Arabidopsis thaliana: one gene and its partners. The protein of the gene in region 1 purifies or fractionates together with the protein of each later gene. This does not show direct contact. Each region holds a gene or a part of one and is shown in the gene's direction. Other genes may lie near its edges.

Region 1 (6,403 bases):
ATGAAACGCATATTTCCACTTTTATTCAAGTTTCTGTTTCTAAGACACACACTGTCTTATTCAATCTGTTTCATGTCAACGTCTATGACTAGGTTCTATGTGTTATAAATAACTTGCAACTTCACCAAAAACATAATACATTTTTTTTTGACAGCCAAACTACATATATATCCTGCAAATGATAATATTTCAAATTCTAACACAATTTTACAAGAAATTTCAACCAATCAATCAAATTATTTTTGGTAGTTGGAATTAAAATTCACCAAAAATAAATTCGTGTTTTCATTCTTAAAGAAGAAACAGAATCGTTTAGAACTGATTTTAGAAAATTACGTGATTCATTTCAGTTTTTGTTATCAACATCACTAGCTTCAATCATGCATGGGCTGAGCATGTAACGCAGGTAGAGATGTCAAAATGGGTTAAAATTCATGGGTTAACTCAACTCAATTCAACCCATGAACTCTAATGAGTTGAAAATTTTGACTCAAATGAGTTAATGGGTCAAATGAGTTGATGAGTCAATTGGTTTGATGAGTAAAATGAGTTGGGTTGTAATGGTTAATGATTTCAATGGTTTACCCAATTAACCCATCAAGTTTTGTAAAATTGAATTAAACCAACTAAAATTTCTAAACCAATGCCAATTTAAGTTTAACCAACACATTTAAACCAATTTAATAAAATTAATATTTTTCCAAATTTCTTAAATATACAAGCGATGAAATTGATAAAAAGTAAACTCGTAATTTTTCACTAAAAAGATAAACCCGTGATTTTCCCGCCAAAAACGTAAATCCATAATTTTCCCGCCAAAAACGTAAACTCGTAATTTTCCAGCCAAAAACGCAAATCCGTAATTTTCCCGCCAAAAACGTAAACTCGTAATTTCCCGCCAAAAACGTAAACCCGTGATTTTCCCGCCAAAAACGTAAATCCGTTATTTTCCCGCCAAAACGTAAACTCATAATTTTCCCGCCAAAAACGTAAATCCGTAATTTTCCCGCCAAAAACGTAAACTCGTAATTTTCCCGCCAAAAACGTTAACCCGTGATTTTCCCGCCAAAAACGTAAACCCGAGATTTTCCTGTCAAAAATGTAAACCCGTAATTTTCCCACCAAAAACATAAACCCGTAATTTTCCTGCCAAAAACGTAAACCTATAATTTTCTCGCCAAAAACATAAACCTGTGATTTTTCCGCCAAAAACGTAAACCCGTAAAAAGTGGAATCCGTAAATATTTTAAGTTTGATGATAATGAATTAATAATATTAATTATTTATTATTGTTTTATAATAATAATTAATTAAATTATTATTTAAATGGGTTAACCCATTTAACAATTCAATCCATCAAATTAAATGAGTTATGGGTTGACCCAACTCATTTAACATCTAAACTTATTTGATTAAGAGTTGAGTTGGATTACCCATTTTGAAACCCCTAAACGCATACATCAAATAACTTATTGAATTATGTTTTTATAGGTTTTATGAATTCAGTGGCTCGATAATTTATTAGGCTGACAAAAAATAAGTTCGACTACAGCCCATTAGTTAGTATTAGTCAGGCCCATTAGTTAGTATCAATCAAGCCCATTAAGCAACTTTGCTCATCCTCCATCTTTACTAGATTCTTCGACCTTGCTTCTCCTACCTCTGCAATTCTGCTAAACCCTCACGGCGATAAACCCTAAGTTGTAAAAACCGTATCCATGGCTGCTCTTACGCGTAACAAGAAGAAGGGTTCCAATTCACAGACTCCGCCACTGAATAAGCAGACTAAGGCGTCTCCGCTGAAGAAGGCGGCTAAAACCCAGAAGCCTCCATTGAAGAAGCAGAGGAAATGTATTTCGGAGAAGAAGCCCCTCAAAAAGCCTGAAGTTTCCACAGACGAGGAAGAAGAAGAAGAAGAGAATGAACAGTCTGATGAAGGGTCTGAATCAGGTTCTGATTTGTTCTCTGATGGTGATGAAGAAGGAAACAATGATAGTGATGATGATGATGATGATGATGATGATGATGATGATGATGATGAGGATGCAGAACCCTTAGCTGAAGACTTTCTCGATGGTAGCGATAATGAGGAGGTAACCATGGGTTCTGATTTGGATTCTGACTCTGGTGGATCCAAACTCGAGAGGAAATCTAGAGCTATTGATAGAAAACGTAAAAAGGAGGTACAAGATGCAGACGATGAATTCAAGATGAACATTAAGGAGAAACCTGATGAGTTTCAGCTACCAACCCAAAAGGTTACATTTTCCTTTACTTAATTGTGGATTTGTTCATATTCTGGATCTCTGGAGCTATTTGTTAGCTAATCTTTTCTATTACTCTACATTGTTTAGGAACTTGAAGAAGAGGCACGTCGGCCGCCAGATCTTCCTAGCTTGCAAATGAGGATAAGAGAGAGTGAGTAACATTTTCAAATTTTATTCCTTTTTAAGAATTCTGGTGTAATGTTATTATTATGATTGTTTTAAATCTCCTAAGGAATCATCCTCTCGGTTCTTAGTTTAATGGTACTAATTTGTGTTTCAGTTGTTAGAATCCTGTCGAATTTTAAGGACTTGAAGCCAAAAGGAGACAAGCACGAGAGGAATGATTATGTTGGACAGCTTAAAGCTGATCTTAGTTCTTACTACGGCTATAATGAGTTTCTTATTGGAACTTTAATTGAGGTTATTCCCTAGTCTCTGACTTTACTCTTTATGCTTGCTTTGATCTAGAGTTATGTGTAGGAATTCTGTTACTTATACTCTTTAGTTGTAATCTTCTGGCAGATGTTTCCTGTTGTTGAACTCATGGAACTAATCGAAGCTTTTGAAAAGAAAAGACCTACATCTATACGTACTAACACTCTTAAGGTGAACTTGGTTGTGCATTGGAGTGTCTAAAACAAAGTATTTCTCAGCTGTTGTGATATTTCAATTAATGCTGATGTTTGTTTTGGTTAAGACTCGAAGACGGGATCTGGCTGATATACTTTTGAACAGAGGAGTTAATCTAGACCCATTAAGCAAGTGGTCAAAAGTAAGTAGTATTTGCAGATTGTCTTCCATTTTATTTGCGAAAACATTTTTGTGGACCATCTTTAGTTGATCCTGGCATAATATTTGTAGGTTGGACTTATCGTTTATGATTCACAAGTTCCGATTGGTGCAACTCCTGAATATTTGGCAGGATTCTATATGGTACTTGATTTTCTGATTTTTTTTGTACTTTTCGGCTCACACTTTATGGGTTTTCTTATTGTTTACTTAAGTATGTTCTTGGTACATTTTCAGTTGCAAAGTGCTAGTTCGTTCTTGCCAGTGATGGCCCTTGCTCCTCGAGAAAAAGAACGAGTTGTGGACATGGCGTAAGTCATTATCTTACATAAATGCACTATATTTGTGTCTCAGATAAATATATATATATATATATGATGACCAAGCAGTACCTTAATCTGATATTCAAGTGTAGCTTGTGATATGTATCATTTGTTATGATTGTTGTGATGATAAGTGCTGTCAAAACGGAAAAGCCAATTTGATTGTCCCGTGATGTGAGACATATGCAACTAGTATATTGTGATATCTGTAACAAGTTCTTATACCACTGCAGTGCTGCCCCTGGTGGTAAAACAACATATGTTGCTGCACTAATGAAAAATACAGGTATACATATATTGGTTCCTTATTCCTCCAGCCCCATAATTTTAGTCAGTTATATCTAATGTTATAATGTTTATATAACCAGGCATAATATATGCAAACGAGATGAAAGTACCTAGGCTTAAGTCACTTTCTGCCAATCTACATCGCATGGGAGTGACAAATACCATAGTTTGTAACTATGACGGACGAGAGGTTAGTTTCTTGAACCTTTATTCTTCTGTTGACGGTACATGCTTGAGGATGTTAAATATTGCAAACTGGTTGTAAACCATCAGCTCAACCAAATTGAAAAATTACTGGCAAGACTGTAATTGCACCAAATAACAAAGTTTTAAAGACAGCTTCTCTATTATTCCCTTGCATTTTTTATTTATCTCATCTTCTTTGCCTTTCAGCTAACCAAAGTTTTAGGTCAGAGCTCGGTTGATAGAGTATTGCTGGATGCTCCCTGCAGTGGAACTGGAGTAAGAAAGTTTGGACCATACACTCTTATAGTCTTTTAAGTGAATTTCTCTGTTCATAGTTTAATGTCACTTCTACACAATGCAGGTTATATCAAAAGACGAATCAGTTAAAACTTCCAAAAGTGCTGATGACATAAAGAAATTTGCCCATTTGCAAAAGGTATGTTGTTGCCTTAAACAATATCAACTAAAACATTCTTTACATCCAAGACAAATATTTAAACATGAAAATGGCATAAACGCCGTTTATACCCTCTTACTGTGAGTATATAAAGAAGGATGCATTTGGTATATAATGCTAACCATACTCTCTTCTTTTCTTGCGCATAGCAACTTATACTTGGTGCGATTGATTTGGTAGACGCCAATTCCAAAACCGGTGGATATATTGTTTACTCAACATGTTCAGTTATGATACCCGAGGTTGGTGAACCATACTTTTTCTGTTCCACTATTTTTTTTTCCTGGCATCTTCATGTTTTCTCACTAGTTCTATTTGTACAACAAATTATGCAGAACGAAGCTGTCATCGATTATGCTCTGAAAAACAGGGATGTTAAACTCGTTCCATGTGGACTTGATTTTGGCCGACCAGGGTAATATACATTTTCATCTGCATTGAAAAATTTCATGATTCGTCATCTGAACACAAATGTTTTGCTGCATATCTTCAGATTTAGCAGTTTTAGAGAACACCGGTTCCACCCTTCTTTAGAGAAGACTAGACGTTTCTATCCTCACGTGCACAACATGGATGGATTCTTTGTTGCAAAGGTATACACTTGGTTAACCTATGAATAGCTTTTCCCTGCAAAACAGATGTTTTATAAAATATGAATAGTGATTAAACCAACGAGGTATTTACTTTTTCCTTTCTTTGTTCTGCAGCTGAAGAAGATGAGCAATGCAATGCAGCCTTCAGGAAATGATGAGCCAGCTGTAACAATGGAGCAAGCTCAGGTGTCGTCTAGTGATGATGATGATGAGAAAGCTGAGGCCATTGAGGAGTTGGAGAAGCCACCTGTTGCCAGTGGGCAACCCAAGAGAGAGAGTAACACTAAAGAAGACACGAACAAACGAAAAAATCCAAGGTCAAAGGAAATTCACAAAGGCAAAAGGAATAAAAACACAAAAACCGAAAGTGGTAATGTGGAAGAACCCAGGAAGCAAAAGAAGAAGAGATCACAATGGAAGAATGAGATTGCTCAAGCTAGGTAAAAAAACTAAGTGTTTCCTTGACAGACAAAAGAGAAAACCTTCTTATGTACATTGTTGTATCATACACCCATTTACCCATAAATGGTTGAATATGTTGCAGGGAAGAAAAAAGAAAAACCATGAGAGAGAATGCTAAGGAGACGCCAAAGCACAGGGGATAAGAATAGGTTTGAGATCGTGATGCATCTTGAAGAGTAGAATATTTCGGTGTTCTGGCCATGGCGAAGGACACAAGAAAAGAGGCTTCATTGGCTGAGGCCAAGGTATCTATACAATGGCTTTCTAGTTTTGATTAATTTACTGCGTAAAGAAAGGGTGACACCCACATGGATTAGCTGTTACATGTCCAAAAGTTTTGTATCAATCACATAACTTGATTTTTGTGAGAGGCTGTTTCTATTTTCCGTTTTCAATTGGAGTTGTAAAATTTATTGAAAACAAAAACGAGTCCCTACTTTCTCTCACAAGTGTGTTTGAAAGGCTATTCATTTTTCTGCTCCTAGCAATTATTTAATAAAATACATAAATCTTGGAGGGTTGGGTCCATACCACCACATAAGGATAGAATTTCTCATAGTATTGATTTGACGAAAAAATAAGGGAATTGGGAGTGAGCTGGTCATTGTTAGGGAGAGATGTGAAGGTTTTCTGAAGTGGGACTTGAGTGTTGGAGAAACATGACAATCCAATTCAACTCTTCTTCATCCATCTTTATCAGATTCTCCTCCGTTGGGGACCTTACATTTACTTCTCTCACACTAATCTTCTTGTTTCTATTTTTAGATTATAAGCCCATATTATAACTGCTAGTGCTTGTAGCCTTGTATACACAAACTCACATGCATCACATATAACATCGTATAATTGCTGTATTCACTTTATATTTGGATATCCAAGATTATAGAAAAGAGATTCCTTTGCAGGACCCAAAAGATACAGCTTTTAAAAGCAAATGAGTTCATTTTAATTTCTTGCTAACCAAAATGGTAAGTAATTTTGTGGACTTATGGTATGGATAAATAACAAAATCTCAATAAACCATTGAAAATAGGAAAT
Region 2 (3,349 bases), 4.4 Mb from region 1:
ACCGGGTTATTAATTACCTTGGGGACAATTTCGCAAAACAACAAACCAAAAGACGAGTTTGTGAGTTATAGGAAGTCGTCCGCTTACGACGTTGTCCATCTTGATTCTTATAAACTCTTGTCGGAATCCATGGTCGTCCGGGTAATTTGTGAACCCTCTGATGGCCCGCGAACCGAGGTCTTTAGTCGGGTTTAATCCTAGAAATCTAGAGACTACAGAATTTGACCCATCGCAGCCAATCAAAACCTAAATTAAAAGAAAAGTATATTATCAAAATATATAAGACCCATGCATTTCATGCTAAACATGTTGCTTTCAGTGAAAAACAAACAAAACACAAACCATTAAAACCGATCACGACCCATAAATGTCACTGTCGGCTAATATAAAGTATATACTAAAAAAATTCCACTACGGCATCACCTCAATAATTGATCAATAAATATATCTACTGTTGTTAAAACGTGCCTTTGCTTTGATAGCTTCTCCCGTTTTTAACGTGCACAATCGGAAACGATTTTGTTTCGTCGAGCTTAACCGACAAAATATGGCAACCAAGCCGGAGAGTGCCAAGAGGAAGAGCATGAGCCAAAGCTCGAACCAAGTCGTTCCTTAGTACACCTCTTACTTCTCCATAGGATGCTGGTCCAACCGATTCTCTTCGTTTAATACCTTTCTCGATCAAAACATCTCTTATCCTGTTTTAGTACCATACCGGAAATCATTATAACTAGATAAGGTTAGTTAAAATATAAATATTTATATACTTACTGATGAATTGGGAGAGACTTAAGACGAAGCTAGCTTATCGGCGACACCAAGTTGTTGAAGAGCAAGCCAGCCGTTAGTCTGAATACCAAAATGCTGCTCCTTCCGATCTTACAGACTCTGATCTCTCCAACACAACGCTCTTTATGCCCTTCCTTTATAATCATATTTGTATGTTTAGTTAGTCAATAGTTCATGTATATGTTTTCTAATTTAAATTACCTTATAATTGAGAAAATGAGGAGATTATAGTGAACCTGTGAAGAGCAAGGGAAGTTGCAAGACCAGCAATGCCTCCTCCCACGATTACTATGTCCAATTCTTCCATTCTTCTATATTTGTATTTCCTCCAAATTTTATGATCGTTATGTCCTGCAATGTCGTGGACTTATATGTGGGGGTTGAAGCCACATGGCAATATGGCATGTCGTGGTTGTACCTTGACCCGCGTATTTTTCGTTATCTATACATATTCATTCACAGCGATTTTTATTGGTATTTGTCGATTCATATATCAATTAAACTGTGTATCACACAGATCGTTATATGAAACCAATTCTGAAGAGAGAAAAAAAAGAAAAGAAAAATTTAAGCCTTCTTGTGTTAGAATTACTAATTTTAATAATTTATTTAATATTTTTACTGTATTAGTGATTAAATGTATAATTTACTTAATCTTAGAAGTATATATATATATTTAAAACAATTATTTTCTTACACGTTATACAATATTTGTAATTAATTGTATTTATTTATATTAGAAATATATATACCTTTTTCTAAAATAATATATTTTTGTTTTGTCAATTGCCCTTATAATATTAGTAATTCATTGTATGATTTCCTTATAATATTTTTACACATGAAAAAATCTCTAACTAAACATCTTTTCAATAAACTACATGAACTATCAAATTTGTTATAACTTTCAGTTATCCTCCAAAGTCCAAATATTCAAAGTGAATTATTCATGGGTTGGATTTAACAAAAATAATAATTTCGAGGTTGAAATGACAATAGATATTTTTAAAACAAAGGACCAAAGTCGAAATAACAAAACTCATCGGCCGCATTAGGTTTGGTCCTAAATCCCTAAAACCCTAAAAAAACACAATCCCTCTTAGAAACAGAGAGCTTCTCTTCTTTCTCCATTATTCATCACTTTCTTCCCCGAAGATGCGTCCTTTAGACGAGACCGAGACAACCGTCGTCTTCGAGAAGCTCTTCAAATTCGTCGGCAACAACCTCAAGAAGATCGTCGAGAACCCATCAGACGAAGGACCCGAATCTACACCCGGCAGCTACTGCTTCCGCCTCCAGAAAAACAGAGTCTACTACGTCAGCGAAGCCCTCGTGAAGCGAGCCACAAACATCTCCAGGAAAAACCTAGTCTCCTTCGGAACCTGCATCGGGAAATACACTCACGCCGGTAGTTTCCATCTGACGATTATGTCACTCAATATCTTGGCGGCGAATGCTAAACACAAGGTATGGCTTAAACCCACTTCGGAGATGTCGTTTCTTTATGGGAACCATGTCTTGAAAGGTGGATTAGGGAGGATTACTGATAGTATTGTTCCTGGAGATGGTGTTGTTGTGTTCTCGATGTCTGATGTTCCGTTAGGGTTTGGGATTGCTGCGAAGAGTACACAGGATTGTAGGAAATTGGATCCTAATGGTATTGTTGTGCTTCATCAGGCTGATATTGGAGAGTATTTGAGGGGTGAAGATGACCTTTGAAAGTTTAAAGGTTTTGTCTTTGTTGTGTCTTAGTTTGATTCTGCTTGTTGCTTTGAGTTTTAAAGTATGTAGCTGTTACAAGTTTCGTGGAACTTGGTTCTGGATCTATGAAAGTCTCGATTTTTATAAATCTGTTTTTGAGGTGTTTTGTGAGACTCTTGAGTATGTAAAAGCTAAAAAATTTACATTCATATGCGAATTTTCAAATCTGTAACCTGATGATCAAGATTTGTATTGGAGACAGGTTGAGTTTCCTGATATTGCTTTGATTTTTATACTTAAAAGCTTCAAATTCTTCATCAAGCTTGAAACTTTGGAAATTTACATACATATGCTAATTTTCAAATCTGTAACCCTAATGATTCAGATATGTGTTGGAGACAGATTGATTATGCTGATTTTTGAGACAGATTGATTATGCTGATTTTTGAGACAGATTGATTATGCTGATTTTTCTTTGGTTTTATAGTCCAAAAGCTTCAAATTGTTTTCAAGCTTCAAACTTTGGCCTTTGAGTATTAAGGGTATGTGACTGTCACAAATTTTGTGGAACATGGTATTGTATCTATGAAAGTCTCAATTGTTCTCAAACAAGAGTATCGAGAAGCTACAATTGTAAGCTGATGAATCAGTTTTCTGTATGGAAACAGATTGCTTGCTTTGATTTAAAACTTCAAAACTTATTACTGGGCATATAGGTTGTGTACTGCTGCCAAATAATCTGGAGAAGAGATGTTTAAACCAATTAAGTTCTGAAATCTTTCTGAAACAGATTGCATAACTTTTTGGGAAAGATATTGAGGGTGTTCTTTGAATAAATATGTTGTACACTGAAAATTTC
Region 3 (4,879 bases), 350 kb from region 1:
ATTGTCATTGCAAAGTGTGTTAGCTCATTATGCACATGGTGGTTTAGCTCTTTATGTAGATTGTTAGGATCTGGTTTGAAAAAATAAATAATAGTTACTTAACATTCATACCCAAAAAAATAATAAAGAATAGTTGATAATATTTCATGAAAATCGATTTGTTTTGGTGGACATACATCGTCGTCTCTACTCTATTGTCTCGATCGCAAGTAATATGACAAATAAAGCAGCAGCCCTAGCAATAAAACATGTGACTACTAAAATAGGAGGATTTATCTTTACTTGACGAACTATAAATTAAATATCTACTCTTTTACCTTGACTTTGAAAATTACTTTTTAAGATTGCCTTTTACAATTATGTGGAATAGCGGCACACATTTACGTAAATTTAACTTCAATTTAAAACAATGATTTATTCATTTTCATCATACAAACTTTTCAGCACATTTTCTCCTTTTTAATATAATTTTATATATTATAGATAGAGATATAGATCAAACAATGTATGACTTTAAACTTAGATTGTAAATTCTTCTTACTATGCTCGAAAATTTCATCTACGTATATAGATCTATTGTAAACCTAAGTTTAAAACGGAAATCAGTTATTGATAGTAATCTAGTAAGTTTAATCAACTATGCGTTATAACATAATGAAATCATATATACGAGCTTAGATATCTAATTCAGTTAATCAACAAGTCAACTAAACAAGGCTTCACTTTTCCACACCTCTACAGATCGAAATTATTATATATTCGAATTATGTAACTAATGTAAGTCTTGCAACGTGTGGATAGATACAAAATGGATATGTCCATAGGTATACATATTAAAAATATAACTAGAAATGGTATATTACTAACAAAATTTTACCCCCAAAGGTGGCCATCCACTAGTAGCCACATGCTTATCTAGTAGACATTGAACATGATAAAAAGTGCCAAATAAGTGGAATAATCAATGGGAATCTTCATTCCTATAAACAAAAACATTTTCAAGCCTATGACATAGCTAGCTACTCTACAACATGTATATGCCAATTGGGATATAAATGTATTAAAGCATAACCATTAATTTGACAAATAGAAATAAATAGTTCAGAATGTATAAGTTGAGAAAAGTTATAATGATTGGTAGGGAGAGACTCAAAAAGAAAAAAGGATGGGTAATGGGACCTATTTTCCCCAACATCCCACATGCACACTTCCCTCTCCATTCTCTCACATTTATTTCTTTCATTCTAATTTATCCATTCCGTGTGTAACATATTCACTAATAATCTCATCTCACTAACTCATTCATTGATTGTGATATGTTTATCTAGAATTAGTGTTTTAACACTGTGTCTACATATGATTTCCTTTTCATTGTATGTGAACATGTTAACTCACTAATCATTTTGTATTTTCGAGTTAACATGAGTCTCCACTTCGGTAGACTAAAGTAAAGATAGGTTTGAGTATAATAAAGTTTAAAATTTGCTTTAAAATCAATATTTATAAATAAGTTTTTATCATAAGTGATTTTTGTATGTTATATTGGACCTTGTATAAACAGACTACAGAAGAAAATTATTTATGAGAACTTGTAATGTTAGAGTGGACCTCGTATAAACTAATTATGTGGGCTTTTACCATAAACTATTTATGAAAATTATTATGGCCCACACCACTATAACTAAAGCCCACATATTTAGCAGCCCAGTTTCATTGTAAGAGACATGTTCGCTCTGGAACTAGAATTTTCTGGTTTTTGGGTATTTGTTTTCTTATGTGTAGAGAAATGATGGTAACGATTAAATGTTGTGTATTACAATTTACAATGGTAAGACGATTAATATATTTACACACAATTTTGTTGTTGCTGTAACACGTTAGTGTGTGTGATGATAGAATTTCATAAAGCTTTAACTACGAGGGGCAAAATGTTAATTCTAAATAGTTGACAGCAGAAAAAGATATGTATACATAATATAAGGATTAAAACGTAAATAATAATAAATAAGGCGAGTTAAATTAAAACCCTGTTAAAACCCTAGCTTGAAACACATGTATAAAAACACTTGCGAGCGCAGCTTCATCGCCATCGCCATTCTCTCTCTCATCAAAAGCTTTTCTCCTTGATTTTCGCATTCTTTAGAGTCTTAACGCAAAGATGAGACCTCCTCTAACTGGTAAGAACCCTAGCCGCCTCTTCTCTTTTCTTCATTGCTTGCTTATCAGATTAACAATGGCGAGTGACACTCTTAGCTCGTTTAGTCTTTAAAACTTTATGTCTTTAGCTGAACTGATTGTCAACTTTGTTCTTTTTTGCTTAGAACTGTATTGGGTCTGCGTTAGTTCTATCGGATATAGAGTTGATGGTTGGGTTTTATGTTAAACATGGAGTCTCTAATGAATGGTCTTTTGTGTTCAGGAAGTGGTGGTGGGTTCAGTGGTGGAAGAGGGCGTGGTGGATACAGTGGTGGTAGAGGTGACGGTGGATTCAGTGGTGGTCGAGGTGGCGGTGGTAGAGGAGGAGGAAGAGGTTTCAGCGACCGTGGTGGTCGCGGCAGAGGAAGAGGACCACCACGTGGTGGTGCTCGCGGCGGCAGAGGACCAGCTGGCCGTGGAGGCATGAAAGGAGGAAGCAAAGTGATTGTGGAACCTCACAGACACGCAGGAGTGTTCATTGCAAAGGGTAAAGAAGATGCCCTTGTTACCAAGAATTTGGTTCCTGGTGAAGCTGTCTACAACGAGAAGAGAATCTCTGTTCAGGTATTATAGAGGATTGATTAATTGATTGATGGTTTGTATTTGCACTCCTTTTGATGAATTTGTTTTTAATGGTTCTTGTGATTGAATCTGCAGAACGAAGATGGAACCAAGACTGAATACAGAGTTTGGAATCCTTTCCGTTCGAAGTTGGCTGCTGCTATTCTTGGTGGTGTTGATAACATCTGGATTGTAAGCATCAGCTTGTGTGAATCTTATTGTTGTTGTTTGCGAGACTTGGTTCATATATTGATTGTTGTTCCCGTTTCAATGTAGAAACCTGGTGCTAAAGTTCTATACCTTGGTGCTGCTTCTGGAACCACAGTCTCTCATGTGTCTGATCTTGTTGGCCCTGTAAGCAGAACCCGTCCTTTATGTTGTGATTATCAGGTTTTAGACGTGTATTGGAGTTTCTTATATATTGCCTTTGTGATCTGATAGGAGGGGTGTGTGTACGCGGTTGAGTTTTCTCATAGAAGTGGTAGAGATTTGGTGAACATGGCAAAGAAGAGAACCAATGTTATTCCAATCATCGAGGATGCTAGACACCCAGCTAAATACAGAATGCTTGTAGGCATGGTTGATGTTATCTTCTCTGATGTTGCTCAGCCAGATCAGGTTTGCTTCTTTTGTTTAACTCACAATGAATGTCTAAATATTTGCCTCAAAAAGCTTGACCCAATACCATTATATGTGTCCTTTGCTTTAAAATGGTGTTTTGATAATTGCAAATGATGATCTTACTTGGATTCCCCTTCAGATCATTATGGGTGATGCAATCTCCAAGTTTCTGATGTACTGAAAATTCTTGTTTTTGTTTTTGTTAAGCTTAATCTTATTTTACTATGTACTTGTTTTACAATTTCGTTTTTAAGAACAATACTAAATTTAAATGTCTATTATTGCTCGGTTTTGGTTCTCCTGATGTTAAACCTACTTGTTTTCTAAATGCCATTCAGCTTGTGGGTTGCTTCTAGTATACTTTATACTGTTTTGTTTATGAAATTTTCTGTGCCATTTAAAACCGTGCAGGCTAGGATCTTGGCTTTGAATGCATCATACTTCCTCAAGTCAGGAGGACACTTTGTGATCTCAATAAAGGTGGGTAGCAATCGAAACATTTATTTAATCCATGATCTCTCAAGAGAGAAAGATTAGTGAACATGTATTGTCTCATTTTTGCAGGCAAACTGTATCGACTCCACCGTTCCAGCAGAAGCTGTGTTCCAGACTGAAGTGAAGAAGCTTCAACAGGAGCAATTCAAACCAGCTGAGCAAGTGACGCTTGAGCCATTTGAGCGTGACCATGCATGTGTCGTTGGTGGCTACCGTATGCCTAAGAAGCCAAAGGCTGCTACTGCTGCTTAGAAGTTTTCTACTCTACGCTCTTCCCAGTACCTCAGATTTTGCTTTGTCTCGGTCTCTTTAGAATCTGTATGGTTTTAGGGTTTATCTTAAATTTTGAGCTTTGTAATCATTTTGAACCCTGGTTATGTTCACTTGGCTTCCAGCGCTAACTTTTTCGACAAGTTTTTGATATATGGAACAATTATAATAGAATTTTGTCGACTGAGGTTGATTTCTTTAAATAATGACACCTCGTAATGCAAATGTAAAACGCCGCAAGAATTTGCACACAAACAAAACAAAGTTTGAAGACACGTTGCATTTTTAGGACACAAGCCAAGGAAATGTAAATACAAAAAGCTCACGCAGAAACTGTAACAAAAAACTAATGTCAGAAGTGGGGTTTGAACCCACGCCCTCTTACGAAGACCAGAACTTGAGTCTGGCGCCTTAGACCACTCGGCCATCCTGACCTTCTTTATTAAATATCATTGACAACATATATAGCAGGATGAAAAAACTAGAATGGCTTATTCTCAAGCATCTGGAATTTTATTTGGGTTACAAATTTTTTTGATACATTTGGGTTACATGAGGAAAAGTAACTAACATTTGTAATGCAATTTTTCCTTTTGGAAGTAAGTAACAAAACATAACTGATGGAACAGTTTCCTACAATCTAAAACTCTAAATAGAACAATTTGGTGCCCAAACCAATGAAAGACAAACAAAAAGTCACTACTAAGCTTAACAAAAAAAAAACATCAATCACGCA
Region 4 (5,429 bases), on another chromosome or scaffold:
GATCCATACGCAGAGATCATTACCGTCCATGATACAACATCCTTCTTTGGTATACTGTTGAAAATCCTAAAAGCCTCTTTTTCATTGCCGCATTTAGAATACATGTCAAGAAGCGCACTCAAAAGCAACTCGTCTGTTTCGAGCCTGCTCTCACTAATGGACAAATGAATCTGTTTGCCTTTCTCTAACGCAGCCAGTTGCGAACAAGCAGGTAAAACACTTGTGAAAGTTACCACGTCTGGCTTCACTCCAACACTCACCATTTGGTCATACACTTCAACAGCCTTAAACCAATTACCTACACTGATATAACTAGAAATCATGACATTCCATGACTCAGCAACGTCCTTCTGTGTCTTTGAAAAGACGGTTTCAGCCAAATTTGCTTCACCACACTTGAAGTATAGATCAATCAAGGAACAGTTCACATAGATATCTGCATTTACAACGCTTCTAATCACATAACCGTGTATAAATTTTCCATGTAGGAGATTCCGTGAGCGAGAGCAAGCCATCAAAATGCTGGTCAAGGTTGTCTGACTCGGTCGAGTTCCTTCTATGATCATTCTATTCAAAATCTCAACACATGACTTACTGTCTCCTTTAGCGACATAACCTTTGATCATAGAATTCCAAGCAACCAAACTCTTTCTAGGCATTTTCTGAAAAACCTCCCTAGCCACCTCCAAGCAGTCACATTTCCCATACATATCAACAAGGGCAGAGTTTACATACTCATCTAACTCAAACCCTTTCTTCACACATTTTCTATGTATCTCCTTCCCTCTCTCCAACCACAACAGCCTTGAACACGCCGATATAGCCACCGTCAACGAAACTGAATTTGGTTCAAAGCCAGAACTTTCCATTCTTCCAAACAACTCCAAAGCCTTCTCTGCCTCTCCACTTTGATAAAAACACGAAATAACCGTGTTCCAAGATGCTACATCTCTCTCAGGCATTTCATCGAACACTTGTAGTGAATTCTCAAACAAGTTAAACTTTGCATACATACCAACCAAAGAACTCGCCACAACCACATCACAAACATACCCACTCTTCACCACAAGAGTATGAATCATCCTACCAAGAAACTCTCTACCCAACGCACCATAAGCCTTAATCACATTCGGAAAAGTAAACGAATCAGGGACACAAATTGAGCAATTCAACAACCTCTTGAAAACCTCAAGAGTGTCATGAAACATTGAGTTCTTTGAATAACCAGACATTAAAGAGTTCCATATGTAAACATCCGATCGTATATCGAAGTTCTCGAAGACGTGTCTCGCTGAGCAATGGTCTTTACAAGTAAAGTAGACATTGATGAGACTTTTGCATAAAACTACGTCTCTTCGTAACCCCAACGTGAGTATTCTCTGATGCACAAGCTTGATTCTTCTTAGAGACTTGGTGCTATTGGTACACTCTCGCAATAAAGACAACAACTTTGAAGATTCCATTTCAAGTTCACATTTTTTTTTGTCGTGAGAGATTGAAATGTGATCAGTCGCTGCTTTAGCTAAATTATAAAGGAAAGACATGATTCAAACTACGACGTCGTTTATACTAATGGGCCAAACTTAATTAGGCCCAAAATGATTTATTTTTCTAAATTAGCGATGCGTTTTAAAACCCTAGGTTACAAAAACGCGCCGTTAGCAATAAAAACGCAGCGTTTTGAGAATCTCTGAACCTTCTTCAACAACTATAAAAACCATCTTAAACCCTAGCAGAATCGCGGCTCCTGATTTTAGCTCTCTCTAAAGCTGTAGTTGTGCGTTAACCCTCTAAGGTACTGAATCTCTCTCGCCCTCTCTTTCTTCGTTGTTATGGCAAATAAGCTTCCAAAATTCTAAGACTTTGACAAAGTATAGTTCTGTTCTTTGTCGGATTTTCAAGAATTTGAACAGAGTATCTGCCTTAACTATTATTCTGATTTGTAAACTTCGAAACAGGGAAAAAGTTTTACCTTGAATATTGTTTCGTACTAGCTTAATGGCTTTAGCTCGTAAAACACTAACTTGCAAGTTTGGTGACTTTGAGTTGATTCAAGGGTTTCTCTTAATCTTGTTTTTTCTTCTTTTCAGGAGCTTGTAAAAATGCTAATACTGTTTGAGACGCCAGGTGGTTTTGCCATCTTCAAAGTATTAAACGAAGGAAAGCTCTCTAATGTTGAGGTTACTAACTAAATCATTCTCCTTTGTTCATTTATCTTAACCTTGTTTCTGTGTGTGGTTTGGTTTTTTAATTCTAAGTATGTCAAATTTGTGATTGTAGGATTTGGGTAATGAGTTCTCGACCGCAAAGTTAGCCCGAAAGGTGATTTATTTTGTTCTAGACATAGTTCAAATTTTGTATCTGGCTAATAATATTTGTTTCTCATAGCAATTTTTGGTGTGTTGTTACAGATGGTGAAGCTAGTAGCTTTTGACAAGTTTGACAACACAGCTGAAGCTCTTGAAGCAGTGGCTAAATTGCTTGAGGGAACTCCAAGCAAGGGTCTACGCAAGTTTTTGAAAGCTAACTGTGTTGGTGAAACATTAGCTGTTGCTGATTCTAAGCTTGGAAATATCATCAAGGAGAAACTGGTGTGTATTTTGTTCCGATACGCTCTTTTATTTCTGAGTAAGGGTTGTTTCTTACGGTTTTGCTTCACTCGTGTAGAAAATAGTCTGTGTTCACAACAATGCTGTTATGGAGCTGTTAAGAGGTATCAGAAGCCAGCTAACTGAACTTATATCTGGATTGGGTGATCAAGATCTAGGTCCAATGAGCTTGGGGTTGTCTCACAGCCTTGCCAGATATAAACTAAAGTTCAGTTCCGACAAGGTAGTCATTTGATTTGTATTGGTTTTTGGTTCTCTGAATTATTTGTTGAGTTAGCCAACTTTTGATAAATTATGGAACTTTTGGTATCCCTTTTTTTACTCTTCCAACATTAGGTCTGAATTGCAATTGAGTTTGTCTATATATCCTGTGTTTGTTTGACCCTTATGTTACTTCACCTTGTACTTGTATGTTAGGTGGATACCATGATAATCCAAGCTATTGGTCTGCTTGATGATCTTGACAAAGAGCTTAACACTTACGCTATGAGGGTTCGTGAATGGTTTGGTTGGCATTTTCCTGAGCTTGCTAAGATCGTACAGGACAATATCTTATATGCCAAGGCTGTTAAACTAATGGGGAATCGGATTAATGCTGCAAAGCTAGACTTCTCTGAGGTAAAGGCCTGTTTGAGTATTTGACTTCCTTGTGCTTAACACTAGTTTTTTTTTTTTTGAAACATTGTTTCTGTGTCCTCCTCTCAGATATTGGCTGATGAAATTGAAGCAGAACTGAAAGAGGCTGCTGTGATATCTATGGGAACTGAAGTCAGTGACCTTGATTTATTGCACATCCGAGAACTCTGTGACCAGGTTCTTTCTCTTGCCGAGTACAGAGCTCAGCTTTATGACTACTTGAAGAGCAGAATGAACACAATTGCACCAAATCTAACTGCCCTTGTCGGGGAGCTAGTCGGTGCTCGCTTAATATCTCACGGTGGTAGTTTGTTGAACCTCGCAAAGCAACCTGGAAGCACGGTTCAGATTCTTGGAGCTGAAAAAGCCTTATTTAGAGCCCTTAAGACCAAACACGCTACTCCAAAGTATGGTTTAATTTTCCATGCATCTGTTGTTGGCCAAGCTGCACCGAAGAACAAGGGTAAAATTTCACGGTCACTAGCTGCAAAATCTGTTCTTGCTATCCGTTGTGATGCTCTTGGTGACTCCCAAGACAACACTATGGGAGTTGAAAACCGTTTAAAGGTATCCTTCAATTTTTTTTTTTCCGATCTTCCTCTCGATCTGATCTAAAAATACTCTACCTTGATTGATGTTTACCATGCGGGCTATTTTCTTCTGACAGCTTGAAGCACGGTTGAGAACTCTCGAAGGAAAAGATTTAGGACGTCTATCTGGCTCAGCTAAAGGCAAACCAAAGATTGAAGTATATGACAAAGATAAAAAGAAAGGATCCGGAGGTCTGATCACTCCTGCTAAGGTCAGATTATTCCTCTGCTAGTTTGTTTCTTCAACTTTCTTTTGTAATTATGAATTCTGGATTTGTGCAATTGTGTTTTGGATATATTACCTGTAATGTTGCTTAAAGGATTAAGCTGTTTGTTGTTGTTGTTGTTGTTGTATTCTGCAGACATACAACACTGCTGCAGACTCTCTTCTTCAAACTCCCACAGTGGATTCAGAGAACGGTGTGAAAGAGAAGAAAGACAAAAAGAAGAAGAAGAAGGCTGATGATGAGGAAGAAGCCAAAACTGAGGAGCCCTCAAAGAAGAAATCGAATAAGAAGAAGACAGAAGCAGAACCTGAAACCGCCGAAGAGCCTGCAAAGAAGGAGAAGAAGAAGAAGAGAAAACACGAGGAAGAGGAAACTGAAATGCCTGCTAAGAAGAAGGAAAAGAGTGAGAAGAAGAAGAAGAAGAAAACTGAGGTCTGAAGAGACCTTTAATATTTTTGCGTGGTCTAGTTTACTTTGTTATCAGAAACAAAGAAAATCTTTTGTGGCGTTAGGTGTTAAGTAAGGTTTTTGTTTTGTTTGAAACTTAAAAAAAAGAACTACTCTTCGTTTTGTAAGGTTATAATATGTTTGGTTTAGTCCTTATCCCAGAAACTTGCATTTTGCCAAACGAGTCAAGACCTTACCGTTAAATCCTTCTAATCTTAGTATAACGTAATTACTCATAGTTGATTAGTTCATAAATTTGTAAAGATCAGTCCGAAGAGTCGACATTTTTCATCAAGTGTATCATTGACATTTTAAAAAACCTTGTACAAAATGAATATTTGTGAGTCTAAAAAGTACCTTAATAGTCAATTGGAAATGGATTGGGTTGAGCATAAGGCAAATCATACCAGACCTTAGAAATTTCAAAAGATAAATAAAATCTAGAGTCTACCTACTTTGTGTGTGTATATATTTTTATTGTGCTATAAATTTTGTGATGAATATGAATCAAAATTCTTTCTGAATATTTCGTGATAATGGTTCCGTCAATATCAAAATTTACTACTGAACATATATGTTTTAAAATATTTAACTGGATTTTAATTCATAAAGTTTTTTTTATTTTTAATTAAATTTAGTTGCCGTGGAAAAAGTTTAATCTATAGTGTTTTATGTAATCATTGTAGGTAATGTTCAAAAAATCTGCCTAGACACCTATCGAACTGGATTTTAATTTATAAAGTCTTTTTATTTGTAAGTAAACTAGTAGGCAGCCCGTGCCTTGCACGCAAAACAACAATACCAATAATATATTTCGTGTCTTTGAAATTTGCAACAATTACACAAATGACGAATATCACAACCTCACAAAATACAATGTGTATCACACATTGCTCTATAACTCTCAATAAAAGTCCTAT

What was found.
Region 2: the proteins of AT4G26600 (region 1) and AT4G15770 fractionate together in Arabidopsis thaliana (co-fractionation; one large-scale study listed by BioGRID). This does not show direct contact.
Region 3: the proteins of AT4G26600 (region 1) and FIB2 fractionate together in Arabidopsis thaliana (co-fractionation; one large-scale study listed by BioGRID). This does not show direct contact.
Region 4: the proteins of AT4G26600 (region 1) and AT5G27120 fractionate together in Arabidopsis thaliana (co-fractionation; one large-scale study listed by BioGRID). This does not show direct contact.

The regions. Positions count from the first base shown.
Region 1 is NC_003075.7:13,417,911-13,424,313, forward strand, and holds AT4G26600 (S-adenosyl-L-methionine-dependent methyltransferases superfamily protein), read left to right. Parts: upstream 1-1,650; 5' UTR 1,651-1,718; coding exon 1,719-2,258; intron 2,259-2,354; coding exon 2,355-2,418; intron 2,419-2,547; coding exon 2,548-2,687; intron 2,688-2,789; coding exon 2,790-2,873; intron 2,874-2,964; coding exon 2,965-3,039; intron 3,040-3,128; coding exon 3,129-3,200; intron 3,201-3,293; coding exon 3,294-3,367; intron 3,368-3,612; coding exon 3,613-3,665; intron 3,666-3,747; coding exon 3,748-3,857; intron 3,858-4,060; coding exon 4,061-4,129; intron 4,130-4,214; coding exon 4,215-4,289; intron 4,290-4,459; coding exon 4,460-4,725; coding exon of another isoform or gene 4,726-4,729; exon of another isoform or gene 4,730-4,803; coding exon 4,804-4,903; coding exon of another isoform or gene 4,904-4,930; exon of another isoform or gene 4,931-5,017; coding exon 5,018-5,343; coding exon of another isoform or gene 5,344-5,347; exon of another isoform or gene 5,348-5,447; coding exon 5,448-5,508; 3' UTR 5,509-5,881; downstream 5,882-6,403. UniProt on the Arabidopsis thaliana protein: Involved in ribosomal large subunit assembly. S-adenosyl-L-methionine-dependent methyltransferase that probably methylates the C(5) position of cytosine 1586 (m5C1586) in mitochondrial 26S rRNA.
Region 2 is NC_003075.7:8,976,116-8,979,464, forward strand, and holds AT4G15770 (RNA binding protein), read left to right. Parts: upstream 1-1,779; 5' UTR 1,780-1,944; coding exon 1,945-2,508; 3' UTR 2,509-2,829; downstream 2,830-3,349. Other genes in the region: AT4G15765 (FAD/NAD(P)-binding oxidoreductase family protein), read right to left, coding at 18-246, 500-698, 858-923, 1,026-1,096.
Region 3 is NC_003075.7:13,072,081-13,076,959, forward strand, and holds FIB2 (fibrillarin 2), read left to right. Parts: upstream 1-2,009; 5' UTR 2,010-2,158; coding exon 2,159-2,177; intron 2,178-2,419; coding exon 2,420-2,760; intron 2,761-2,853; coding exon 2,854-2,949; intron 2,950-3,033; coding exon 3,034-3,111; intron 3,112-3,198; coding exon 3,199-3,375; intron 3,376-3,482; exon of another isoform or gene 3,483-3,555; intron 3,556-3,789; coding exon 3,790-3,858; intron 3,859-3,942; coding exon 3,943-4,125; 3' UTR 4,126-4,352; downstream 4,353-4,879. Other genes in the region: DTX35 (detoxifying efflux carrier 35), read right to left, coding at 4,496-4,577, 4,877-4,879. UniProt on the Arabidopsis thaliana protein: S-adenosyl-L-methionine-dependent methyltransferase that has the ability to methylate both RNAs and proteins. Involved in pre-rRNA processing.
Region 4 is NC_003076.8:9,539,185-9,544,613, forward strand, and holds AT5G27120 (NOP56-like pre RNA processing ribonucleoprotein), read left to right. Parts: upstream 1-1,676; 5' UTR 1,677-1,795; intron 1,796-2,090; 5' UTR 2,091-2,102; coding exon 2,103-2,180; intron 2,181-2,280; coding exon 2,281-2,322; intron 2,323-2,411; coding exon 2,412-2,591; intron 2,592-2,667; coding exon 2,668-2,832; intron 2,833-3,026; coding exon 3,027-3,227; intron 3,228-3,314; coding exon 3,315-3,812; intron 3,813-3,912; coding exon 3,913-4,047; intron 4,048-4,197; coding exon 4,198-4,500; 3' UTR 4,501-4,881; downstream 4,882-5,429. Other genes in the region: AT5G27110 (Tetratricopeptide repeat (TPR)-like superfamily protein), read right to left, coding at 1-1,463. UniProt on the Arabidopsis thaliana protein: Required for 60S ribosomal subunit biogenesis.